2 linked regions of the Ovis aries genome follow. The protein of the gene in region 1 purifies or fractionates together with the protein of each later gene. This does not show direct contact. Links are inferred from orthologs where the notes say so. Each region holds a gene or a part of one and is shown in the gene's direction. Other genes may lie near its edges. The genes, in order: KHDRBS1 and PLCG1.

The links.
Region 2: the proteins of KHDRBS1 (region 1) and PLCG1 purify together in Homo sapiens (affinity purification with western blotting; 7 studies listed by BioGRID and IntAct, with this or other methods). This does not show direct contact. The link is inferred for Ovis aries from reciprocal best matches to the Homo sapiens genes KHDRBS1 and PLCG1.

Annotation. Positions count from the first base shown.
Region 1 is NC_056055.1:235,452,863-235,462,942, reverse strand, and holds part of KHDRBS1 (KH domain-containing, RNA-binding, signal transduction-associated protein 1), read left to right. Parts: intron 1-4,266; coding exon 4,267-4,391; intron 4,392-5,546; coding exon 5,547-5,663; intron 5,664-6,822; coding exon 6,823-6,969; intron 6,970-9,631; coding exon 9,632-9,765; intron 9,766-10,080. UniProt on the Homo sapiens protein: Recruited and tyrosine phosphorylated by several receptor systems, for example the T-cell, leptin and insulin receptors. Once phosphorylated, functions as an adapter protein in signal transduction cascades by binding to SH2 and SH3 domain-containing proteins.
Region 2 is NC_056066.1:69,812,743-69,822,349, forward strand, and holds the end of PLCG1 (1-phosphatidylinositol 4,5-bisphosphate phosphodiesterase gamma-1), read left to right. Parts: intron 1-922; coding exon 923-1,019; intron 1,020-1,106; coding exon 1,107-1,331; intron 1,332-1,402; coding exon 1,403-1,551; intron 1,552-2,235; coding exon 2,236-2,350; intron 2,351-2,452; coding exon 2,453-2,614; intron 2,615-2,716; coding exon 2,717-2,805; intron 2,806-2,877; coding exon 2,878-3,062; intron 3,063-3,198; coding exon 3,199-3,241; 3' UTR 3,242-4,999; downstream 5,000-9,607. UniProt on the Homo sapiens protein: Mediates the production of the second messenger molecules diacylglycerol (DAG) and inositol 1,4,5-trisphosphate (IP3). Plays an important role in the regulation of intracellular signaling cascades.

The DNA of each region.
Region 1 (10,080 bases):
GAATAAAGGATTGGTCCTTCCCCTTCCAAAAGTGGAAGGTGACCCTCTTTGAAGGCTCAAGTTGCTTCTTTTGCTTTCTAGGCTAACCCTGTGATTGATTTATCTTTTCAGTCCTGTTTTATTTAAACCATTGTTCTCTGAATTCTCTAAAAAATGCTTTAACATTATTTTTTAAATTGTAAGGTAAGTGGACAAGGGGATCCTAATTAAATCTACTTCGTTCAAAACATAGCAGAAGGATCTGTGTTTTAAATTTTTGCTTATTTATTATTTTTATTTGTTTGTGCCAGGTCTTATTTGGGGTGTGTGGGATCTAGTTGCCCGACCAGGGATCAAACCCCAGGCCCCCTGCATTGGGAGCAGAGAGTCTTATTTAAACACTGGACCACCAGGGAAGTCCTAGATGCATGTTTTAAAAAGGCCTAATATTCACAGGGCACATTTCAGTGATATTAAACCCTTCTACTGGGTTCAGTTTTTGCAGCCCTGCTTCCTGTGGGAATACAGATTAACAGATTTCAAGTCTTAGCTTCTTGTTCTGACCAATTAAAGTTTCTGGAAAGTGATACAAAGTACAGCTGAAGGGCCTAACTAGATGGCAGCAATTAGAACACACAGAGACATAGATGAGATGACGTATATAACTTGTTCCACATTTTTAGAAGCTCCTCTGATTTGAAATGTGGCATCTTTGTTCCTGTAGGACATTTGAAGATTTTAAGTACCCAGTTTACCAGCCCAGAAGCTCTAGAAGAAGTGTGTTCAGAGATGGTAGCTCAAAACCAGTGACTGCAAAGTTAATATTAGCAGTAAGTGGGAAGGGATGGAGGTCAGGATACACAGGCAGTGAAACAGTAAACAAGTAGGGTGTTGAATGAAGCGTTTAGTCTGTTGATTGTAAGGTCACATTTGCTTTCTACTCCAAGTAATGAAAAATAGGAGTGCAAAGAGCACTGTCATTTATGGTTCTTATAAGTGTATAACATCTCAGTTTAGGCTTTTTAATAAACAGAGAAGCCTTCAGTTTGGAATTCTGAACTCTGTGAGTCTCAGTAACTTTCCTTCATCTGTGTATATCATAGCTAGATTTAGTCTAAACAGTTATTTTTAAAGTTTGTTAAAGGTTTAGATTTGCAGAATGTGTTTAAAGTATTATGTCTTTATATACTAAGGTATATAAAGGTCCACCAGGCTCCTCTGTCCATGGAACTCTCTAGGCAAGAATACTGGAGGGGATTGCCATTTTCTTCTCCGAAGGATCTTCCCGACTCAGGGATCAAACCTGGGTTTCCCACATTTGAGGCGGATTCTTTACCATCTGAGCCACAAGGGAAGCCCATATATTGAACTAGTGGTTTTCGAAGTGTGAACCTTAGGGCAGCAATATCAGCATCACCTGGTCACAGTTTTAAATGCAGATTCCTAACACAATCCTAAATGCAATCCCAGACTGGGATTGGGTCCCAGCAGTCTAGTTGAACTAGCTGTCAAGATGATTCTGCTGCATACTGAAGTTTGAGAACCCTTATCTTTATTTTTATTTTTTGGGGGGCTCCCAAATCACTGCAGATGGTGATTGCAGCCATGAAATTAAAAGACGCTTACTCCTTTGAAGGAAAGTGTCCAACTGAAAAGCAGAGACGTTACTTTGCCAACAAAGGTCCCTCTAGTCAAGGCTATGTTTTTTCCAGTGGTCATGCATGGATGTGAGAGTTGGACTGTGAAGAAAGCTGAGTGCCGAAGAATTGATGCTTTTGAACTGTGGTGTTGGAGAAGACTCTTGAGAGTCCCTTGCACTGCAGGGAGATCCAACCAGTCCATCCTAAAGGAGACCAGTCCTGGGTGTTCATTGGAAGGACTGATGCTGAAGCTGAAACTCCCAATACTTTGGCCACCTCATGCAAAGAGTTGACTCATTGGAAAAGACTCTAATGCTGGGAGGAATTGGGGGCAGGAGGAGAAGGGGACAACAGAGGTTGAGATGGTTGGATGGCGTCACCGACTCAATGGACATGAGTTTGAGTGAACTCCGGGAGTTGGTGATGGACAGGGAGGCCTGGCATGCTGTGATTCTTGGGGTTGCAAAGAGTCGGACACGACTGAGCGACTGAACTGAACTGAACTATCTTTAAATTACAGAAGATAGGGACTTCCTTGTTGGCCCAGTGGTTAAGACTCCATGTTGCCAGTGCAGAGGGCACAGATTTGATCCCTGCTTGGGGAACTAAGATCCCACATGCCCCTTGGCATGGCCAAAAATTTTTTTAAAATATGAAAGTTAGAAACACTGGAAATGTTGTATAAGGAGAACATTGTGTTAGAGTATTCCACTGATTTTAGGGCATATAAAAATTTGTTTTATTCTCAGTGGACCATAGTATAATGTTTTAGTTGCTAGTATTCATTGCCTCCATACTCTGCCCCATTTCTGTTAGTACTCCTTTTGTAGCTGTTAACTATTCTTCATTGCCAGCTTCGTATACTGGTACCCCTTGTATATAGACATAGTGGAGATTGGGACCATGTCTAACTGGTTGTGTGGTTTCTCCTATACTTTACAGGGCCAAGTGCCTGGTGCTTAGTGATCATGGTGCTTAGTGATCATACCTATATCTGTCCCTTCGTGTGCCTCACCATAGGAAGCGCTCAGACACTTGGAATCACTGAATAAATGAATGGAGTTTCCTAATGATAGGAATCGTTTGGGATACTAAGGTTCTAGCTGATGAAACTGTCTTAACCTGTGAATTGAAATTACCTTGGTGCATTTTTTCCTTTAGGACACTGAGTGAATTTGGGCTAGAGAGTGTTAAGTAGATATTAAAACACTTCTAAGAAATGTGCTTTTAGGACTTTACTGGTGGTCCAGTGGTGAAGACTCTGGACTTCTGCAGGGGACAGAACTAAGATGAGGGCAGAACTAAGATCCTGCATGGCCAAAAGGAAAAGCAGAAAGAAATGGGCTTTAATTAGCATATTTGCATATTTTATTTTATTTATTTGGCTGTGCCAGGTCTTAGTTGTGGCATACAGCATCTTTTTAATTGCCACATGCAAGATCTAGTTCCCTGACCAGGAATCAAACTCAGGCCCCACTGCATTGGGAGAAAGGAGTCCCAGCCACTGGAACACCAAGGCAGTCCCTCCATGTTACTTTATTCTGTCTTCATAGCAACCTCTTGAGGTAGATACTGCGTCCATTTTACAAATAAGGACATCAAAGTTCAGAGCAGTTAAACTTTTCAGAGTTCACACAACTAGTGAGTGGCAGAGTAAAACCCAGGTCTTTCAGACTTTGAAGGACTGCTACTATCCAAAGCACTACTGTTACAAAATTTTAATAGGACTCTCAGTTGTGTGTTTAAATTAACTTTGTCTCTTCATTAAGATACAGCTTTGGGGACTTACTTAGTGGTCTAGTGGTTAAGAATCCACCTGCCAATGCAGGGGACATGGGTTTGATCCAGCCAGGAAAATTCCACTTGCCTCAGGGCAACTAAGCCCGTGCACCACAACTGCTGAGCGCCCTCACCTTGGGGTTGTGCTCCACAGCAAGAGAAGCCACCACAATGAGAAGTAGAAGCACTGCAGCTGGAGAGTAGCCCCCGCTCACCACAGCTGGAGAAAGCCCAAGTGCAGCAACAAAGATCCAATGCAGCCAAAATACATAAGTAGAATAATAATAATAAAGATATGGCTTTGTACTTTTTCCTGATGCAGGTTTAAATTTTTTCCAGTTTGTTTATCCCCGTTTCCTCATCTCACTCCTGTCTAAAGAACATTGGACTGTCTCTGTAGAGGTTTCTGCTGAAAGTAGAAGAGCAAACTGCCCTTACTAGAAGGAGGCTTTGAGACTTCCCTGGTAGTCCAGTGGTTAAGACTCCAGACTTCCAATGCAGGGGATGAGGGTTCAATCCCTGGTCAGGGAACTAAGATCCCACATATGGCAAAGCAGCTAAGCCTGCAAGCCAAAACAAGAGAGAGTCATGTGCAGTGAAGGATCCCACATAACTCAGAGATCATCCCACATGCCACAACTGAGAGCCAGCATAGCCAAATAAAAAGAAGCAGGCTTTTGGTTTCCTAGTCAACTTCATCTAGCTTTGGTGCTGTCTTTATTTGAAATTAAGGCACTAGTCATCTGAACTATTCATTAATATTTGGTCTCATTACACAGTATTCCCTCTTACTGCTTTAAGTAGACTCAGAATTTTGCCTTTATTTAAAAGAACAAAGCTAAATTAAATTTCTGTTTGTCCTATTCAGAAATTGAGAAGATTCAGAAAGGGGATTCAAAAAAGGACGATGAGGAGAATTACTTGGATTTATTTTCTCACAAGAACATGAAGCTGAAGGAGAGGGTTCTGATACCTGTCAAGCAGTATCCCAAGGTAAGGGAAAGAGTGCCTCATTTCTTTGAATTGGCTTCGTAGTATGAGAATGTGTAGTATGTGGTGTGTCTTGTAGCACCAGCTGTAACAAAAGATTTGCAGAGGTTGTGGGCCTGGTGAAGGTTCTGTCCCATGCTTATAATGACTGTATCCAGCAGGCAAGACACACAGGCCTGCAACTAAGAGCATAGCTACAGCCAGGAAGGAAATGCGACCATCTTTTTATTATCAAAAAAGGAATTTCTTTCTCAAATGTTTGTTTAGCTTCAAGCTTAAAGGAAAAAAATTGAACCGTAATTGTTCTTTGTCGAAAGATTGAGCTGAAGTTTAAATAAAAGAAATACAACACAAATCCTTGTGACACAATGAATAAGTTAATTTTATTTCTTACTCAAAGTTTTTTTGCTCTTGTTTGTTTTTGATTTGGGGTATACTGCTTGTGGTATCTTAGTTCCCTGACCAGGAATGGAACCTGTGACCCTTGCAGTGGAAGCACATGGTTTTAACCAGTGAACCTCAAGGGAATTCCCAAAGTTTCACTTTTAAATAAATGGTTTCTACTACTACTCCTTTTATAAAAAAACAAACTAGTTTTAGTCAGACCAGTACTACCAAAGGGGGGTAACGTATGTCTGTTCTGTTCTAAAGTAACTGCCTTAAAAACGTTTATGTATGTTAAATTACAAAGAGTTGTGGAGTGATAATTTGGAAAGAACATCATACTACATCAGGAATTCAAGTTCCAGAACTGCCGCTTTGCAGTTTTGTGCCATGCCATGCTCAGTTGCTCACTCATGTCCAACTCATTGTGACTGTAGCCTGCCAGGCTCCTCTGTCCCTGGGGTTTTCCAGGCAAGAATACAGAAATAGGTTGCCGTTTTCTCCTCCAGGGGGTCTTTGCAACCCAGAGATTGAACCAGCATCTCCTGCATTGGCAGATGGATTCTTTACCACTGAGCCACCCAGGAAGCCTCTTTCCAGTTGTATAACCTTTGGCTAATCAATTTTATCAGTACCACTTCAGTATATCCTTCAGTAAAATGGGAGTGGTTAGTACTCTACTTCCTTTACAGGAAGTATTGAAGATAAATAATACATATAGAAATATTTTATAGGAACATACACATTTAGAAATCTGTCTTTATTTTCTATCAGTTCAATTTTGTGGGAAAGATCCTTGGACCACAGGGAAATACAATCAAAAGACTGCAAGAAGAGACTGGTGCAAAGATTTCTGTGTTGGGAAAAGGCTCAATGAGAGACAAAGCCAAGGTAAGCTCACATTAATGAGGCAAGAAGACACCCGAATGCCTTCCAGTAACCTAGAGTCCAGTATGGATACCTATGGAAGCTAGTTCTTACGTGTGTACTGAAAGTGATTCCCTTAAATTCGCATTGGATGTGAGAGATTGTAGACCAGTTAATTTACTTTGGCAACCCAAGAAGAACCTTGGTATGCCCTGGTGATTGTTTTCTTTCTGACTTGACTGTGTAGTAATGGAAATAGCAGTAGCAGCTTTGGCCTTTAGTAAGCTTATCTAGGAAAACTTGGAAGGGGAGGCTGAATGTACTGAAACTTACCCAGCTAAAGACACTAAATGTGAAGAGCATTCTGTTTCCAGTTAGTGTGGGAAAATGTGAGCAATAGTGTTGTGAGTGCAGGTGAGTTTGAAGATTAGTTGGCTGGTTTGTTTTATAGCCAGCTGGAATGTGAGGCATGCTAAAGGAAGATGTCACAGAAGGAACCATGAGAAATCCTGACAATAGAATCCAGAGCTTATTTTTCCCCAGGCCATAGCCCCGTATTCTTTATACTCTCTCTAAGTGTGGAGAAACTTCCCACCAAAATAAAATAGTCTTAGCTTTCTAGAATCAGCTTTTTAGATGGGATATAACCTGCTCCAGCCTAAAAACTTAACTCTTTCAGGCCTCCTTGTATGCAGCCTGATTGATGAGCATTTAGGGCTGAAGTATAATACTCTGTTTAATGAGGTGTACATGAGATTTTCTTCTATTGTGACTTTTTTCCTTCTCTATACAAGCAGATCAGAAGAGCTGGTGATTAACAGCTCTACCTGGGGTTTATTAATAAAAGCAAATGCTTGGCAATTAATGAATGAGTGGATGGATGCTTGGCAAACAGCCGTTATCCGAATGGAGACTGGAATTACATTTGTCTCTTCTGTGCCTTCTAATATGAGCTCCAATGAACACACCAGCAATTCAGAACAACAGCTTTTAGCAGCAGACCAATCGCAGGTTTAGCAGACTGTGTAAATTACTGTACTCCAGAGTTTACTTTTTTCTTACACTTTACTGGGTTTTTCTGAGGTGTTGGAGTCATTTCTTACTGTCCCTTTGGCCTAATGGTAAAGGTGTCATTTTCTACATAGTCCAAGTGATAATGTTGTTTCTGTGCATTTTTTCACAGGAGGAAGAGTTGCGCAAAGGTGGAGACCCCAAATATGCCCACTTGAATATGGATCTGCATGTCTTCATTGAAGTCTTTGGACCCCCATGTGAGGCTTATGCTCTTATGGCCCATGCTATGGAGGAAGTCAAGAAGTTTCTAGTACCAGTAAGGAAATCCATATCCTGTATCATTTGAGCAAGAGAAAACTAGGATCTTGTGCTTATTGCTAAGGCAGGGGTTCTTAACCAGGGTCTCTGCATAACCTGAAATTGCATATCCAATTCTGCATTTATGTTCATTTTTCTGAGGTAGTCCATTACTTGCACCTAGTTCTCAAACCACTGTGCCCCGAGGCCACTCTACCAGTCCTAGTTTTAATGTGATTTTAGTTGTATGCCAGTATCTTTTGTCAATATCTTGGATCCACAGTATGTCTTGGCATTCCAACATTTGGTTAACAAAGATTTAACAAGGTCTTCAATAAATTAAGTATTTTGGTGCTAGTATGGAACCAGGAGATTATGACAGGAAAATGGTGAAGGTGGTTGTAACCCCCCTGCAGTTAAGGGGTTATAGTATAGACTCCTGAGAGTCTAGATGATGATAACAGTATCATCTAGTCTGATGATGTGTTATCTGGCCTCCAGTGTTAATGGGTTAAATTCTGACCTGAGTGCATTCAAGACTCTGTCCTGGAGGAGTTTACTCAAGTAGAGTTGATTTGAAGGAGGCATGATGGTTGTAGGCGTTAACTGTTAATGACGTTAAACAGATTGGTATATAGCTTCTTTCAGAATGTATTTAAGGCCTTGGAAGAGTTGGAACAGACCAGGTTACCTGTCTTCCTTATTACCACCTGGTCAGAGGTTATTCATTCTTTGAATAAGTAGGAAATGATGACTTTTTGCCTTTTGACAAGACCTGGTAATTTTCAGAGTTAACATACTACTTAGTGTTCAATATTTAATAACCAAAGAAGACTCTGGGACCTTAGGAAGCATTTGGAGTACTATTCAACTAGAATTGAGTAAGCACCATAGTTTCATCACTGAGAAGAGATGATACATAGTTCTTGGTTTTCTTATACATGTAAAATGAGGGAGTTGGAACTGTCAGAGGCTGTGAGAATTGGCAGAGCAAAAATATATAGGCAGTGTGTCTCTATAATGCTGAGCTCCAAGGATTCCAGCACTGTCTCAAATGTCTAAGCTGCTCTGCTTCTAAGTATGTTGTCATTAGAATGTTCAGCTTGAAACAGCATATTTAAAATATCCTAGAAAAAACTCAGAGCTGGTAAATTTTCCCTTGAGGGGCTTCTTTACTCTTTGAGGTGTGTACTGAAGCATCCTGAGCCATCCGTTTTCTGAAGAACTGCAGAGGAATGCCCATCTTCTCTTTATCATTAATCTCAGCATATTTCTGAAAAGAGCTACATCTCCAAGACTTCCATGTAAGTGGGTCTTCAAAAAAGAAGCCTACCAAGGAGATCTGGGTTTCCTCAGTGTTGCTATGGCAGCTAGAGAAATCTGAGCAAATGGCCCATCACTGGTCACTTGATTCTCTAATGGGAGTCTCACGCAGTAGAAATGTGTAAGGTAGGAAGAGGTGAAGAGTCAGGGGGTGGAGGTGGAGGGAGCATCTCTGTGGCGACTAGAATCTTTTAGAAGCTGTATACACCTGGGATATATAAAAGTGCACTAAGTATTGAGACTGAATGACTCTCATCAGGAAATATGTGAAAAGATTTACAAATGGCATTTGACTCGGTTCTTCCTCCTTGTAAAGAAAACAGATGAGCCTGTTTTTGCATCTGTGACCAGAGCCCTCCGTTTTCCCCTTAGAGACTGGTACAGTAGGAAGAGCACTGGACTGGGAGCTTTATCTGAATCATCTTGGACAAGTTATTATATCACTTTTTTGAGCCTCAGTTTCCTTGTTCATCCCAAACATTTGTTAAGTATCTGGTAGGTGCTGAATACTATGCTTGGGTCTGAAGTTACAGAAATGGTTCTTGAAGAGGTTATAACCTAGTGAGAAAGACAGACAGACATTTTTTAAATGATGTGGTAAGTGCTTAGAGAAGATTACATTGTGCCATGGGAAAAGAGAGTGAGGAGTTGGCATCAAGAGAAAGTTTTTCAAAAGAGGTAATACTTTTGATTAAATCTTATAAGAATTAGAGTCCTTCAGGTGGACAAAAAAAGGCAACAATATATTGATTAATTGATACATTAATGATTCAAAGCCTTGATTTTGGAGATTCTGAATTAACATATAGAATCTGCCACTCACTAGCTCTATGTCTTTATATTGGTTGTTTTATGCTTTCTGAATCTGTTTTCCCAAATGGGAAGATCTGCCTACTTCAGGATTATTTTGAAGATTAAACTGAAAACCCTATGTAAGGCTTATTATATGGTACCCAGCTGTAGAGCTTAATTAATGGTAGTGGCTTTTATTATTCTAGGAAAAGGAAACTGTTTGCAAGAATGGATGTGTATGAGTATGCCGTGTTCTGAACTGCAAGTTGTTCAGCATGGCTTGAAAGGAGGTTATACATGGATAGAGGATGGAAGTGATCTGGAGAGCTAGGCAGGGACCACATCTTGGAAGAACTTCATCTGAACGATGAGGGGCCTACCATCAAGATTTTCCTCAAAGAGGTGACAGGTAGCGTGCCATTTGACTTCAGAGAATGAACAATCTGAGATTTCATCTGGGCTTTCAGAGTTATTCTTCACATCCAAGGCTCATGTGGGCTAGATGACTTCTCAGCAGAAGGTAGAGATGTTGCACAATACTCCCTCTCATTATCTTTTATCCACAGGATATGATGGATGATATCTGCCAGGAGCAATTTCTAGAGCTTTCCTACTTGAATGGAGTACCAGAGCCCTCCCGTGGACGTGGGGTGCCAGTGCGAGGCCGGGGAGCTGCACCACCTCCTCCACCTGTTCCCAGGTAAAAATAATAGAGACAGGTAGAAATGGGATGTAAATCTGACTGCTAGTACCATTTCTATCTTCCTGCTGCCCTTATCTCCAGCTTAGAAGGGGTCTCCGGATGTGTATGTTGCATCGAGAGTAGAGTTCTAGGGTGTTCCCTGGTGATCTAGTGGTTAGGATTTGGCACGTTCACTGCTGTGACCCAGGTTCAATCCCTAATCAGGGAAACTGAGATCCTGCAAGTCATGCGGCACAGCAAAAAAAAAAAAGTGGAATTTTAGATCTTGGTTACTTTGGCTGTAAGCAGGTGCAGCAGTCCTGCCAAAACTGG
Region 2 (9,607 bases), on another chromosome or scaffold:
AGAAACAAGAGGCCAGGATGAGCAGACCAGTGAGGCCGGGTGTCTGACGTGAGGCGGGCCACAGAGCAGACAGCAGGGCCAGAAGCTCAAAGTGCTGGTTGTAGACGGCCGTGGCCGTGGGCGGTCACGGCTGGGTGGTATGGCAGTGGGCCTCGGCTGGTGGAGGGCAAGGGCGCCGCCTGTGCAGAGCAGGGCGGTGGAAGGACCAGCTTTTAGAGGTGAGAGGAGGGCGTGCTGGCCGGGGTGTGGGAATCCTGCAGTGGGGTGGAGGGGCTGCGGGACACACCGTGGCTGCCTTGGAGAAAGGATGCCCGCAGGCCAAGCCGAGAGGGCTGGGTGCGGAGGACTTAGAGTCGAGCAGGGCCTGGAAGGACCAGGCTGGAAGGATCTGGTGGTTGAAGGGATGGAACCTGGGGTCTGGGCTATGGAGGGAAGGAAGAGCTCGAGAACAGGAGCTGCTTCTGGAAGGAAGCGGGCCTCCACGAGTCCGAGGGCCGCACGGGGTGCTAGTGAGGGATGTGCTGGGGCTGAAGTCTGGCCGTGGCGGGTAGGTGGTGGTTTTGAGAAAGGAGAACTGCGAGGTGAGAGGTGAGGCTTCTGGGCCAGGGCTGGAAGGATGGTCCCAAGGACCCAGAGGACTGCGCCCACGTTCCCAGTGCAGTCAGTGCCCGTGGCAGGCCCAGAGCTGAGGACCAAGTAGCCCTGAGGTGCAGCCGGCCCAGCGCCCTGAAGTGTCTCTGAGGCGCAGGTGGTGTGAGGATCCCGGCCTCTGAAGCTGGGAGGGTGTGTTGTCCTCAGGACGGTTTCTGGGGTGTGACTGAGGACAGCCGGGTCTGGAAGGTGCGAGTGGGCATGCCCAAGGTGGCCGGGGGCTCCTCTCTCTGGGGGCTCCAGCCCGGGCTCAGGGCCCATGTGTCCCCAGCTCACCGAGGGCAAGATGATGGAGCGGAGGAAGAAGATCGCTCTGGAGCTCTCAGAGCTCGTCGTCTACTGCCGGCCTGTCCCCTTCGATGAAGAGAGTAAGGGTCCAGCCCGGGGTTGGGAGGGGGCTGGCCCCAGCAGCACCTGGATGGGCGGACTCTGAGCGCGCTCCCTGTTGGGCCCAGAGATTGGCACCGAACGCGCCTGCTACCGTGACATGTCATCCTTCCCGGAGACCAAGGCCGAGAAGTACGTAAACAAGGCCAAAGGCAAGAAGTTCCTCCAGTACAACCGCCTGCAGCTCTCCCGCATCTACCCTAAGGGTCAGCGGCTGGACTCCTCCAATTACGACCCCCTGCCCATGTGGATCTGCGGCAGCCAGCTTGTGGCCCTCAACTTCCAGACCCCAGGTGAGGCAGCGGCCGGGGGCAGGGTCCTGCCGGGCACTGGGGCTGGAGTCCACTGTAACCCGCTCTTGCAGACAAGCCCATGCAGATGAACCAGGCCCTGTTCCTGGCTGGCGGGCACTGCGGCTATGTGCTGCAGCCCAATGTCATGCGCGATGAGGCCTTCGATCCCTTTGACAAGAGCAGCCTCCGCGGGCTGGAGCCGTGCGCCATCTGCATCGAGGTGGGAAGGGGGCGCTCTCCTGGGCTGGTTCTAGGCGCCAGGGCCGGGGGGCTGGCTAACGTGACATGGGAGGGGTGCTGGACAATCCTGGAGCTTGAGGGAGACGAAGCCATTCTCTGAGGTGGGCGTGGGGCTTCAGGCCTGCACCAGAGGACTGGGCTCAGTGTGGCCAGTTCTTGGCACTCGGGAGTCATGCGGTCCAGTAATACCAAACCGTGGATAGCCACTGCCTGGCAGGAGTGGGCAGAGACAGGCAGGGAACTGGTGCCCCTGCCACAGGAATCGGCTTGATGGTACTTGCTAGAACGGGGGCTTGAACAGCACTGAGCTCCCATGCCACCCTCTCGAGGCCCCAGGGGAGCAGCTGTGATGCGGGCGGCTTGGTGCTGTGGGGTGCAGGGGGTGTGGGCCCGAGTGGGTCTCAAAGGAGAAACGAGGACAGAGTGGGGGTGACCATGTCTTTTTTCCAGAGATTTCTACTTTTTTGTCCCGGGGGGAAGTAATTTAAACATTTTCGTATTAAAATGCACATGGATTTAAGGTAGGTTAGAGTGCAAAGACTCACATGGGACTTCTGGGCAGTGTCCTGAGGGCCCAGCAGAGGGCGCACTGCCTCCGCCGCTCATTGGGGACCGGGTGTGAGTCGGAAGGACCAGCCCAGGCCCATCCTTGCCTGCCTTACAGGTACTGGGGGCCCGGCACCTGCCGAAGAACGGCCGAGGCATCGTGTGTCCTTTTGTGGAGATCGAGGTGGCTGGAGCCGAGTATGACAGCATCAAGCAGAAGACGGAGTTTGTGGGTACGTCTCCCCTCCCCACACCCCCGGGCATGTCAGACCCCCTGCGCCTGTGACTCCATCCTCCCGGCAGTGGCCTGAGGCCTTCTGCCCTTGCTTTTGCAGTGGACAATGGACTGAACCCTGTGTGGCCAGCCAAGCCCTTCCACTTCCAGATCAGTAACCCCGAGTTCGCCTTCCTGCGCTTTGTGGTCTATGAGGAGGACATGTTTAGTGACCAGAACTTCCTGGCTCAGGCTACCTTCCCGGTGAAGGGTCTGAAGACAGGTGAGGGCCCTTCCTCCACGCCGTGCCCACCGTGATCCGGCTCAGGGGTGGGGCAGCTTGCTGGCGTCCCCCTGGGCTAAGGGCCAAGCCTCCTCCCCCCAGGCTACAGAGCGGTGCCTCTGAAGAACAACTACAGTGAGGGCCTGGAGCTGGCCTCCCTGCTCGTCAAGATTGACGTCTTCCCCGCCAAGGTACCGGCGGGCGGGCGGGCAGAGGGGCGGTGCGGGGCCCGGCAGCCACTGAGCCCTGTGTCCCTGCCGAAGCAGGAGAACGGCGACCTCTGCCCCTTCGGGGGTGCGTCCCTGCGGGAGCGGAGCTGCGACTCGGGCCCACTGTCCCACGGCCGAGCCCGGGAGGGCTCCTTCGAAGCTCGCTACCAGCAGCCCTTTGAGGACTTCCGTATCTCCCAGGAGCATCTCGCAGACCATTTTGACGGTCGGGATCGCAGGTGAGGGGTGGGGGCAAGGTGGCCTGGAGAAGGGGTCCTGAGAGGCTGAGGGGGTGGCTGGCTGCCCTCAGTTCCCCTCGCCCATCCCCCTGGGCCTCAACCTGCTGCCCGTCAGGATGCTCTTCCTCCTGCCCAGGGCCCCGCGCAGGACTCGGGTCAACGGAGACAACCGCCTCTAGCTGTGCCCCAGCCTCGCGGAGAGCAGCAGGTGCCGTGCTGCGCACGGAGAGGGGGCCGTGGACTGGTTCCAGGGAAGTGGCCTATGGGGCCGCCCTTCCTGGCCTCGCCACCTAGAGCCCGGATTCCAGCAGTGGACGCTAGACGAAAAGCACGCCATTAATGAGATGTATTCCTATTCTGGGCCTCCACGTCCCAGCCTTGGGTGAAGGCAAAAAACTGTACTGTCTGGCCTTGAAGCACACACACCTGGCCCTGCCTTCTGGGGATGGAGCCTTCCGTCTTGGGACTACCACGGCCACTGCCTCTCGGAGAGAGAGGCTGCCTCAGCTGGCCGCACAGGAGGCTCAGGAGCCGCTGACATTCCTGAGAGGAGCGGAGCAACAGCAGCCTCGCTGGGCTCCGGAGTCAACGTTTACACAGTCCTGCAGCTTTAAACCCCAGCCAGGCAGGGAGGGAGGGGAGGTGTCCTGGAGCCCGGGCGGAGGAGCACAGGGCCTGCCTGGAGAGCAGGGTACAGCACAAGGGCACGCTGCCCATGACCAGGAGCGCCACCCACCTGACTGACACAGAGCCTCGTGTGCAGGGCAGCAGTATCGGGCAGCCAGGCCATGAGGGGCCTGTGGAGGAGCCTGAGGTGGCCCAGGGTGCCACCTGGGACAGAGAGAGCGATAGCGGGTTGCAGGGCCACAGCTGCAGCGCCTCGGGGCCATGGGAGGACAGCGGCCCTGGGGCACCCACTGGGCCGCAGTGCCCCCTGCCTGCAGCCTGGGCGCAAGCCTGAAGGACCCGCTCACCAGGGGGCACATGTCTGTGGGCACTGGGCAGCAGGCGGCTCCTCCCACATCATCAGTGAGGACGTGCCTGTGTTTGCGTCACGGCCCCCCAAGAGCCAGAGCAAGACGCCAGCTGGGTCAGGACTGATGGGCACCTATGGGCCCAGAGTGGAAAGGCCAGTCCCCACAGCAGAGGTCCAGCTGGGCACTGGCCGCCACACGTTCAGGAAACGCCCTCTCAAAAGGAACATGTCCGTCCACAGCAGCTCAGCAGGCCAGCCGTGAGTCCCAAATCAGAGTGAAGACCATTTTCCCTGTCACAGCAAGACACCTTGGATCAGAGTCTGCCAGACGACCCTGCAAGAGGACGCTGTCTGGGTGATCTTGAGTGTTTGTGAAGTCAATCAGGTCCTGACAATAGATGGACGTGATGTTGGAGTATGGACTTGTAAAGTTTATTTTTGCACACTCTGTCTCTCACGACCTTCATTCCTTCATGTAGGATGTATGATTTTCTATGTCTTCCACTTCTGACCTGAAAGCTGCTTGGTGGGGGGATGGGACTGGGGAAGCAAAATGAACGAACTTATCTGCACACTGTGGCAGACCTGTTATTTTTACGGATTTACAGCTCAGTTACCAGTGTTACCTTTTTAAGATTTCTATATACTCTTCAGAAGAACCACTGAGCCATTCAAGCCTTGTTATTATCTGATCCCAATAGTGATTCCATTTTCTATAGCTTTTAGGATAGACAATAAATTATTTAACATTATATTAAAACTTTCCATATCATGAACTGTAAACCGAAGGAAATCACACAGTTTCTCAGAAAACGTATTGATTTATTTAAACTAATTCTGAAATGGTATTTCACAGTACCACCTCCCAATCAGCTGTCCATAGCAAACATGTCTATATATGGTTGCCAACGTTTCGTTTATAATTTAAATGTTAATAAAAATTTTAAATTTTATTGAAAAAGCTTTCCTTCTGAAAAGGACTGTAAAAAGTGGAATTACTTCTCAGTGGCACCATGATGACGTTCTGCTCTTCCTGCTGCTCAGCCTTGGTGGGCGAGGGGCGGGAGGCGAGGACGCGGAGCAAAGCCAGCCGATGACGCAGGTTTCTTTAAAGGCAAAGATGACGCGAGATGCTATCCCTCAGGAAGAAGGAGGAATGAAGGAGCCGCCGGCTTTGCAGGGCACAGGCCATTGGTTATTGATGGACCCTGCTGCACCCATGGCAGGTTCTGCCCGGCTGGTGGAAAGATCCAAGGCAGGTGTGGAAGGCTGGAGGGGCGCAGCCCCACTTCAAAGGACAGGGGCCAGAGACCCAGCCTGTGGGCACGAAGGTGCCTTAGAACAGCCAGCCCTGAGCTCGCGCCAACCTGCCGCCAAACCCAGGCTTGAGGCTGGTCGTTCGCTACGCTGCCCACTTAAGATCTAACTGCCACACAAAGTTATTCTCATGTCTTTTATCCTGTAACTTTTGAGTTCTTTCTGAGGCGCGGGAACACCTGCTCCTCTCCAGAGACGTGTTAACCAGGGCTGCTTGCCTGGTGGTTATTCTGCAATAGAAGCAGGTGAGGAGGTTTTTTACTTCCCAGGTCCAGCAGACCTTCCCTCTGAGCTGTGACGCGGTGTGAGGCCACCCTCTCCCCCAGCTCACGTGCCGAGCGTGAGGCAGCGTAGAGTGCTGCCCGCCTGCAAGCAGCCAGAGTCCCTTCCCAGTTCTGCAGAAACTGCTCCTTTAAAAACAAGGCCCACACAGCATTCAAGTGTAGGTTTCTGGGTTATACTCGGGTTGCATCTAGAGCTTGGGGCCGAAGTCTTTGTGCCTAGAATATGGTTTAAAGGGCCCTGCCCTTCCCTTCCTGTGGCTGTTTTTGTAGTGGTGTGTGCTGGTGGATCAAAAATGATGCTGTACAGAGAAGAAAGCTGCCTCCCTGTTGGATGCATGGGTGGGGATGGGCGTAATATGCCAGCCCAGGAAGCCTGAGGGTGATTGTTGAAGAGACACAGGTAAGTGTAATCAGTTGGTTCTTAAAATGGTCCTCATGTGACATATGGCCCTGGTGTGTGCAAGTATGTAGGGATGCAAGTATGGTCCCTGGCTTTGGAGAGGCTGAAGGTTTTGAAGATGAGCTCAAGGCAGGTTTTTTATAGAGTTAACAGTTCAGAGTATCCCTTTCCTATATGACAAGTCAGACCAAGACATGCATTTCCCAAGTTCTCAGATTTGGGGCCAGTCCTGGTCCATTGCAGGCCCCTCTGAGCACCATCCACTTGGAGAACTGGGATCACAGTTTGAGATCCTTCCTGTTGTCCCTGAACTAGATGTAGCCAAAAGCCCTGCTCAGGTTCTCACTGTCGCCTCAGCTTTCTTGGCGCTTCGTGGTCTGACTCGGAGAAGGATGTCTTCCCCCTCGGACAAGAAGGTGGTAGGCAGGGATTAACGCAGTCTTCCTGACCCGTGTGTTCCCAGATTTTCGCGGGCAGGAGCGAGCTTTGCTGACCAGCGGTGGAAGAGGTGGTGGGTGGGTGGGGCCTGGGCTGGGGCCCGGGTGCGCTGTCATGGGCCTGCCCACTTTGATTTTACCCAGTGGGCCTGCTCCGTCACTGGCTCTGCTGTTGGGCAGCCCCACTGACTGGAGGAGACACCTGCCTTCGCCCTTCCCTGTAAGTTTCTTGATCCTTCTTCCTAGCAGAAAATGTGGCAGCAGATTCGAGCAGATCCACAGATTGAGCTTAACCCGAATTCCTCCAGACCTGACAATGGTTGAGTGACCAGGAGGCCCAGCATGGGGGTGGGGGCTGTGGGGAGGCCCTCACTTCAGGCGGAAGTGTCCTGGCCCGCAGTGGGGAGTAGCCTGCTTCTCCACCTGCTCACACACAGCACCGACTGCAAGAGCAGGGGCTTTCTGCATCCAGAGCAACCCCCAACCCCTGCCCCCCCACCCCCACCTTTCCTGCCAGGAGGAGGCCTGAGTGGTTTCTGACCTCAGCCAGGGACACCACCCTTGACAAGGATCTGTGGTCTTGGTGCTGAGGGCAGGGCCTCCCTCCTGACCAGGCACATCCTGAACATCATTGCCCAAGGCTGGGCCTGGGGCTGGACACTCACTAGCCTTTCAGCTTGAGTTCATCCCCTCCCACCATTTCAGTTCTTGGGGGAAAAACAACTCAAGTGGCATTAGGTCACTGCACCAAAGGAGCTCGTGGAACAAAACAAGGTCACATCAGTTAAACTGACCAAGTCTGGTCTCAGCCCGAGGGCCCTCAGTGGCCCTTCCGGGACCTGACCAGGGTTCTGTTCCCTGCTGGAGGCCTCTGCAGCTGCCTCAGGACACCCGCAGTGACCCCTGGCCACCCCTGCTGTCCACTCCGTCCACGCGAGCGGCCGAGCCTGCAGCTACCGTGGGTCGGCTGTTCAGGTTCTACACTCAGCTGGTCTTTCTCCCGTAGACTTCTTTTAGATTCCACACAAAGTTCCTTCCCTAAGACTTAGGTCACCTCCAGAAGGGCCAGGTCAGGACCAGGACCTGGGATCCACCTGGGATCCCTCCTTACTATCTCTCTGCCCCTGGGGCTTTTTCAAGGGTCCTTTTTCCCTTTTGGCACAGGCCTTTAGGATCCCCTGTAAGGTTCAATCACTGTGAACATTAGAGGCTGGGCTTTAATCCTGTTCCTTCAAGGCCCCAGGGCTTTAGGCTCATTTGCCAATCTCTCCTTAGCAAATGACAAGTTTCTCAGTATTTTCCTCCAGGAAGTGTCTTCTCACTGGATGCCTGACAGCTCTAGGTCTGACTCAGTTTCCCTCTGTTTAGCATGAGTCCATGGGTGCTGCAGTCCTTTATCTAGTGACCCAGCCGGCTGGACACGGCGAGCTGGAACTTACCCGGAGCGCCCGAGGGAAACTGCACTGCTCGTCCCTCCAAGTTGCTGGTCTTGCCTACAGAGTAAGTCCAGAGATGTCAGTGTTCTCAGCTTTTTTTCTGATTCCCCCACAAAACAGTCCACAGGTTTGAAATGTATTTACATTTTTATTTAGGAGCAATCAAAAGATTTAAAGTACCATTTCGGCCCATTTCAAATTGTACAAGCAGTTTGGCCCTGTTCCCCTCCCTTATCCAAATCCACAGATATAAAATCTAGGAAATGTGCAATTTGCATCTTAGAAATAGCAGCATCCCCACAGGGGACCTTGTGAGGCCTGGAGACTCAGCCCAGAGGGCAGCCCCCTCCTCCTGGCCCAGCACAGCCACCATCCAAAGGCAAGTTCCAACTTTCTGTTAAAAACACCTTCCTGGGGTGAGGACTGCGCTTCCGCCAGGCCTGGTGACAGCCCGCGTGGGCCTGTGCCTCCCTCGACGGAGGAGGAGGGCCCTGGACGGACAGAATAGGGCAGTGGCCTCTTAGCACCAAGATGATGGCTGCTGCGGTGGCTCCAGGGCAGGAAGCACACCTCCAGCCAGCTGCCCCTGCCCTCCCAGCCTTCCTCCCACAGCCGCCCTCGCCCGCGCTCAGGGAACAAAAGGTCTGTGCTGAAGACCAGCCCGTGAGTGGGCGGCAAAAAACCAGCCACCAGGGAGGCAGACAGACCCTGCTCGCCTCTGGCAACCTCTGGCCTGGCACAGAGGCTGCGCTCAGTGCACTTTTAGTCGACTGCACAGACAGGGATGAGGGGGTCTCCAACAATGATGGCACAGTCCGGCCCCCTGGACACACTGAACGAAGTGGTGCTGGGGAGCTGGGCAGGAACCCACTGCTCAGGGGTGACCCCCTCTCCCATCAGCATCACCCTACAGCCTGTGACCAGGCTGCATCCACCCATGGGGGCGCTGGCTCTCCAGGCCACAGGGGCAGCAAACTGGATGGGAAAGCTGGTGGGGCAGGACCCAGGGTGAGGGACAGCGTCCCCGAACACGAATCGCAGGACAAGCAGGCACCCTGAAAGGGTCCTGACTGGGAAGGACCAGACTGTGGGCCTGCAGCTTCCTGTCCTCTGTGACTCCTGGACTGTCCACCTCCCGCTCCAGTCACATGGGGGCCTTCAGACCGTCCCCTCACCGAGGGGAGGGACAGACGTCGTAAATTAGCCTCAGCTGAGAGATGCTTCTCACCTCCCCTGCCCAGGGGGGCAGAGCGGACTCCTGGAGGAAGACGCGCTCTCCAGGTAAACGCCCAGACTCCCCGCAAGAACCTGCCTGCCAGGAGACACAGCCAGAGGGGCTTGGCCGGGCGAGGACAGCAGGGGAGGGGCTGCACCGATGCCCAGCGTCCAGCAACCCAGGTAGGACTCAGCACCTGGGAGAGCGGGAGCCAGGCCCACCCTCATCCGCAGAGCCGCCAGCGCCAGGCGCCCACCCGCTCTGCCCTCTGCCCTCTGCCCCACGCGGGCTCCCACTGTCGCGCTCCAGTCTGGTGCCGGCCAGGACCTCTGTGCAGAGGAGGCCAGGTGTGCACGCCAGTCACAGGTTTAAGAGCAGGCAGCCTGTCCTCTCCAGGCAAGCGCTCCTCTGCTTCTCCTCCCACCCAGATGCCAGGTCAGCCCTGAGGGGAAGCTGCGTCTGCCCTCACCTCCCTGCCC